Linked DNA regions of Bombyx mori. The protein of the gene in region 2 purifies or fractionates together with the protein of the main gene of each other region. This does not show direct contact. Links are inferred from orthologs where the notes say so. Each region holds a gene or a part of one and is shown on either strand. Other genes may lie near its edges. The genes, in order: disks large 1 tumor suppressor protein and kinesin-like protein KIF13B.

Region 1 (3,319 bases), on a different chromosome or scaffold from region 2:
AGGTATTGACTCTCAATCATATACTTACACTAGCGTTGCGCATGGTACCTGTTCGTGGCTCGACCATTGTTTAACTAGTGTGGCCGCGTGGCGGACAGTAGTAAACGTAAAAATACATTATGATGTTTTCTGGTCAGATCATTTTCCATTGGAGGTCGAATGTAATCTTGAAAGAGTTAGATCCATGACTATTCCGCCTAATATTAGTAATGTAAATAAAATTATATGGGGTGAACGCACAGGAGATCAAATTGATATGTATTTTAAATATTGTAATGATAAATTGAAATTAATAGATTTTCCTCTAGAATTGAACAAATGTTGTGATAAAATGTGTACTAATGTGAATCATCAATCTGTTATAAATAATTTTTATATGTGTATTATTAATGTTTTAACTGAAGCCTCTATTAACTGTTATGATAATTTTAGTAATAAGTGTGAAATAACCCATAGGGGTATTCGACCATTGATTGGGTGGAACAAGCACGTCCGCAGTGCTCACCGGGTGGCTAGACAAACTTTTCTTTGCTGGGTGTGGAACGGGAAACCTCGGAAAGGAACTGTGTATAGGGATATGGTGGAATCGAGAAAAATATTCAAAAAACAGCTTAAATTTTGTCAAAACCATCAGGAACAAATAAAAATGAATATTCTTGCCACAAAACACGAACAAAAAGACTTCCGAGGTTTCTGGAAACAAACAAGGAGATTGAGTCCAAAAGCTGGTATCCCGGTGAGCATTGATGGCGAGTGTGAGCCTGTGAGGATTGCTAATCTGTTTAGAAACCATTTCAGGGTACAATCACCCGGTCAGTTAAGTAGAGGTGCTGATGCTGGGGTGGTGGACCCGAGTCGACCCTCGCATGTACCACCTCGGATAACAACGAAGGAAATAACTAAAATTATAATGAATATGACTAAGGGTAAGTCTCCCGGTCATGACCACCTCAGCATTGAGCACTTTCAACACGCCGGTCCGCATTTACCTAGATTGCTAGCGCTCTTATATACCTTCTGTATCAGACATTCGTATCTGCCCGGGGCGTTAATGAGAACGGTCGTTGTCCCGATTTTAAAAAATAAAACAGGCGACGTATCGGATCGTAACAACTATCGGCCGATCTCCCTGGCAACCATAACTGCTAAGGTACTCGATGCAGTGCTCGAGCGGCAGGTGAGTGATCATCTTACATTAAGTGATGCTCAGTTCGGTTTTAGACCGATGTTATCTACCGAGTGTGCAATCCTGTCGCTAAAGCATGTGGTGGGATACTACACGGAGAGGAATACGCCTGTTTATGCAGTGTTTCTCGATCTTTCGAAGGCTTTCGACCTAGTCAGGTACGACTTGTTGTGGGGTAAGTTGAGGCAGACGGGCGTACCGGGACCTTACGTGGACTTGTTCTCCCATTGGTACGAGTATCAGACCAATCAGGTAAGATGGTCAAACACACTTTCGGAGGAGTACAGGTTGGAATGCGGGGTGAGGCAGGGGGGCTTAACCTCACCGGCGCTTTTCAACCTGTATATTAATGAGTTGATCGAGGCACTCGGTGAGGCACGTGTCGGCTGCTCGATTGATGGTCACTGTGTGAACAGCATCAGTTACGCTGACGACATGGTGCTGTTGAGCCCATCGATCGGTGCTCTCCGGCGGTTGTTGTCCATCTGTGAGAGGTACGCGGAATCTCACGGGCTCCGCTATAATGTTAAAAAAAGTGAACTGCTCGTCTTTAAGGCAGCAAAGACAAAACCGAGTTATGTGCCACCAGTGACGCTCGGAGGTACTCCACTGAAGAGGGTTACTGAGTTCAAATACCTTGGCCATATTGTAACTGAGCACCTTAAAGATGATGCAGATATTGAAAGGGAACGGAGAGCGTTGGCTGTCCGCTGCAGTATGCTGGCCCGCAGGTTCTACCGTTGTACCGCACAGGTTAAGGTAACCTTGTTCAAGGCGTTTTGCCAGTCCTTATATACCTGTACCCTGTGGGTTCGATATGCGCGGCGGGCATACAATGCTCTCCGAGTGCAATATAATAATGCTTTCAGGATGTTGTTGGGGCTCCCGCGGTACTGTAGCGCATCAGGTATGTTTGCGGATGCTCACGTGGATGATTTTTCATCAATCATCCGCAAACGAACGGCCTCACTGATGCGTGGGGTTCGTGCGAGTACTAATAATATCCTGATGGTTATAGGTAATAAACCCGAATGTGCTGTTTTGAGACACTGGGTTCATATACATACCCATATACCAGGTGCCTCAAAGCAGCGCAGATTTATGAATTAAATGTTTAAATGTTTTAATTGCTAATTTTAATTTTAATTTTAATTTTACTAACCATAGTTCTAAGTATTATTCAACTTACAACATATGGACTTGAGAGGGTCTGAATTAAATGAATTTTATTTTATTTATTTATTTTTTTTATTTTATTTGATATGTTATTCCGGTGCGTGTGATTCACAGCCGTGGTGACGGGCGACACGCCGGAAGAGATATACTCGAAGGTGAAGGCGGTGATCGCGGCGGAGAGCGGCCCGTCCGTGTGGGTGCCGCGCCGCGAGCCCCTGTGAGCCCCCGTGAGCCCCGACCGACCGCCCGGTACACTTTACTACTTATCATAGTGCCTCGAGTATCACTCGCCATTGTTAGCACGCAATGTGCGACTCCCTTGTTGTTTGTGCGTCCCTAGTGGTGTTGCCGGCGCTCTGCGAGTCGCAGTCGTCGGCCGCGTTTTATAATTAATGACAACAGCTAGTTCACATTAGTCGTTAGAAACAAGCGCCATGGAAACGCGCATATTAAGAACCGAAAGGTCCGAATTACGTAATAGTACGCGCGTAGACGCACGCACCTCGGTAAGCGCGTTTTATTGCTTTTAGCTACAGCTCGTACACATTAGGCGTCTCGGAACACGAGTTTTATGAGCACGGTTTAATTTACACACGCGAAGTGCTTTTCCGAACTTTGAAAATGAACTGATCTGATTTATTGTTTATCGAAATAAAAAACAAACGCTACAAGCCGTTTAATGTCAGGCGATTCCTCCTTAGTAAGGATTTTTTTTGTAATATTGATTGAAGCACCAAAATTCTCTTGTCTCTGTTTCTATCGTCTTTAATAGTAACAGCAGAGAAGCCTCTCGAAAGAAATCAGTCAACTTCCAGATTGAGCCAATGCTCTTAGTGCAAGTGTGTCAAATACTAATGATACAAACGCCTAATGTGTACAATCTTTAGGTTCACGTGAGAGACAAATGCGTCAATACGATGCTATGCGACGCGACACAGAGCCGTTTATATTTTATGG
Region 2 (3,834 bases):
TTTAATAAATGACGCTAAAACTTGCGACCATCCCATTATATGAAAATTTTGAGAACAATTTTAGAATGCCAAAATACAAGTTTTTACGTTTTTATTTTCGTATTTTTGTTGTCTTCTACTGGAAGGCGTACAATTGAGCTGATTGAAGTGTTTAGTCCGAGCATGGAATATTACATATTATCTTGCCTTGTAAGAGACGGGTAAACATTATTGAAACACATGCCTATAAAAATATATGTTAAAAAATGGCTCTTTGAATAAATTTCAAGTACAATTGCTTACAAACTGTATAAAGTATGAAGAGCTAAAAAGGTTATATTTTAAATATTTCCTTTTTATTTCATTATACATGCCCTAACCTTCAGTGACCCTGTTGAGGTACTGCGAGTCGTGTATGGAGGAGTCCCAGGACGCGATGGCGGAGACGTCCTTGTCGTGGTGGTGCAGGATCTGCAGCTCGTAGAACTTGTGGCCGAGCTCCTTGGGGAGGATGGAGTTCAGCCCCGCCATGCTCACCTCCTCGCCGCTCGGGTGCGTGGTCAGGTCGTCAGCTGCCGGTTGTGTGGGCTCAATATTAGTTACTAGATAGATTTACGGTAGGCAGCGGCTTGGCTCTGTCCCTGGCATTGCTGAAGTCCATGGGCGATGGTAACCACTGACCATCAGGTGGGCTGTATGCTCATCTGCCTACAAGGGCAATAAAAAAAAGGTACATTTCGACATTTAGTGCAAACCGTCGCCTAATATAGAATTTATCAATTCAAGCCACACCCGCGTTTGTTTTGCACGAACTTTCGTACTTAGCTTATAAAAAATATTTTCTAGTTATTTCTTTGCTGACTGGCTCTAAACTTGGAGTAGTTGGTCTTAGCACTTCCAGTAAGTTTTTCGCACAAAAAACCTAAAAATGAACGGCCACGGCGAAACGCGGTTATATTTTACTAGTGTTATATTGTCACTATGGTGGTAGTAGTATACTGTCGTTTTACTCCGGCGCCAATCTTGTGTGTCCAAAATGTAATTAAAAATTTCCAATTTTTTTTTTTGTAATTAACATGTACTGATTTGCAGTGAAGCATACCGTTGAGATCAAGGAACAGCACGGGGATGTGTTGCTCCATGCCGGGCGGAGGCGTCCAGGCGGCCGGAGCGCCCGGGATGGGGCTGCCAGGACTCGGGACTAGAACCTGAATAAAACAATCAATTAATATTTTGTAAATATTCGAGAATAAAAATGTTTGATAGCAAAAAAACTAAATTTTTTTTGGTACCGAGAATTCATTTTGTGAGTCGTTTGTGAAATTATGAATACTAGTGGCCCCCCGGTAGTCAAAATTGGACTATAATTAATTAAAATATAAGTTTGAACATTATTATGATTCTATTGTCAAAAACTATTTTACTATAAAACTATTATTACTTTTTTATTGAATTAATGTATTTTGACGCATAATTAAAAAAAAATTGCATTCTGCACTCTCTATATTCTCTATAAGTATGGGAAATTTCATACTCCTCCGTCCGCGCAATTTTCGTAAAGAGAGACTACAAAGTTTTTGCTTCAAGTATTAATATATAGATGAGTTAAGACCAGTGTGGTGTATATACCGAACCCTGATAAAAAATAGATATGGGATGGGTCGACTGCACCACTTTATATCGCAGAGCAATCATACCTTCCACTGAATGTAGTCTCTAGAGGTCAGCGTGCGAGTTGTGTCTGGGAACGCTAACGCTTAACCCTTTTAGTGCCGTATAGGTCACCGGTGCCCTACGTGGCGCACTGAATTATGTCGATTTACGTTACTGAGACGCCGGAATATCTAGTAGGCTCTGAGAAAGGCGAATCCGAAGATACTAAGAATGAATCTATTTCTAAAACATACATTAAAAACAAACGAAGGTAAAGTTAGGCAATTAGGCGCTTAGTAACAGAAATCGATATAATTACTTCAGTGCGCCGCGTGGGGCACCGGTGACCGGCATGGCAGTCAAGGAGTTAAACACCATGCGGTGAGCTCGTCCCTTACTTAGGACTACTATTCATCTTAAAGTCGTTGACATAATAGTTTTGGCAAAAATTCTTTAATCTTAGGTTGGGATTATAATAAAACAATTAACTTACTGCATTCCGCTCTTCGGTGAGCGACACCCACTGCTCGACTAGAGACTGTTCGCGTTCCATGTCGCGTTCACTCTTCATCGAAGGCGACATGTTTACCAATTTCTGTAGCAGAAAATTCGAGAATTAAACAAGATCACAGTTTACATTACAACCTCTACTGAACGAATTTGTCCCGGGTGGTGTTTTTTCCCCGACGTATACGCTGGTAGTTTAAGAGGCTATTCCAACTACGAACGAACTGGGCCGAACTCTAATCGTCGAGTTTGACGAGGACGGTGACCGAAAGTGAATCCGGGTGATCTGACAAGACGTGTTTCGGGCGACGGTGACTTTGTGTTGCCCCGTCACGGTCAAAAAAGGTGCCCTGTGAGGGTCCCCACTGGAATACCGCGTCCTGCATGTTCCACCCCGAAGAGGAGCCGTGGGTCTTGGTTTAAACAACACAACTAGCAGTGGTTCCGATTTAATTAAAATATCTCAAGACGAAATCGGCACTTGCTTATGTAGACTTGAATACCTGTTCATCAACAGGTGAGCTCCGTGACTCACGTACGTTAGTCAAAAATAAACTAAAGCCATTCATCAACACAGTATAGTATTCCAGGTGACCTGTAGCTGTGCGTGCAAGTGTTGTCTGCGCCGGGCCAGAGCGTCGCTCCAACGTTCCCGCAGCGTGGCCAGGTCCTCTTCCTGATATGAATCCAAAGGTTTTTGTAAGCGGGATCTGTGGACAGTTTCAAAAAAACTCGTATAGACATATAACCGCCATGTACAATAGTAGCGTGCAATATTAACGTCCGTCTGGTGTAGTGGTAAGTGACATGGTCACTACACTAGGTCGCGGGTTCGAATCCCGCCAAGGGAAGATATTTGTATGATAAATATAAATATATTTTCCAGGGTTATGGATGTATATTAAATATATGTATGTGTATAATAAAAATCTTACATTTATTTCCGATATCTGGTACCTGTAACACAAGTTCTTTACGAACTTATTACGGAACCAGTTAACGTGGCGTGATTGTTAGTAAAATATTTATATTTATATTAAATGCTCATTATAAAATTGTGAGGTTATAAGATTTAGAAAATTACGGTTTGGCTTTGAAATTATTACAATTTTTTTTTAACTAGTTTGGTATTGTTGAGGTGGGTCATATGAGGACACCTGCTCTCCTCAAGATGTTAAATTTCAAGGTGGAGATACAAACCCACTATGACTCTTACCAATACTTAAATGATGTGAAAAGTAGAAGTTGATAATGGAAGGATACTAAGTATTACGACCCACATCAAAATAAGAAAAATTGAAACATTGCAAGTTTATGATTTGTAATGAAAAAAAAATATGGACATCCTTCGATGCAGACGAGAACTTCACGTACCTGACCGTGACCGAGCCCACCTCGACGCTGACAATGTGCTGACATATGATCGGCAGCGTCCCCGAGTTCTGTGCGGGCTTCACGCGCACTGCGATCCGCCGCTGCTGACCCTGACGCAGCTGGTACACGCCGCCCGTCAGCATGTCGCCGCGCGCCACCACCTGCAGCCCACACGCCGCCTTGCACTCGAACCGTATTATGTCATTACAGCACGGATGAGTACTAACGTTTGTTATAAACGTTATGTATATTGTATGAAGTGTCGAGAGGTAAACTTAGCCCAGCAAGCTTCAAGAAACTTTTACCGAAATATCGTCTAGT

Evidence for each region.
Region 1: the proteins of kinesin-like protein KIF13B (region 2) and disks large 1 tumor suppressor protein purify together in Drosophila melanogaster (affinity purification with western blotting; 3 studies listed by BioGRID). This does not show direct contact. The link is inferred for Bombyx mori from reciprocal best matches to the Drosophila melanogaster genes Khc-73 and dlg1.

Annotation. Positions count from the first base shown.
Region 1 is NC_085118.1:7,804,242-7,807,560, reverse strand, and holds part of disks large 1 tumor suppressor protein, read left to right. Parts: intron 1-798; coding exon of another isoform or gene 799-821; exon of another isoform or gene 822-2,420; intron 2,421-2,476; coding exon 2,477-2,583; 3' UTR 2,584-3,319. UniProt on the Drosophila melanogaster protein: During embryonic development, some isoforms are essential for proper neuronal differentiation and organization. Required for cell polarity; maintenance of apicobasal polarity.
Region 2 is NC_085111.1:15,114,554-15,118,387, forward strand, and holds part of kinesin-like protein KIF13B, read right to left. Parts: intron 3,675-3,834; coding exon 3,514-3,674; intron 2,850-3,513; coding exon 2,735-2,849; intron 2,228-2,734; coding exon 2,126-2,227; intron 1,188-2,125; coding exon 1,082-1,187; intron 552-1,081; coding exon 360-551; intron 1-359.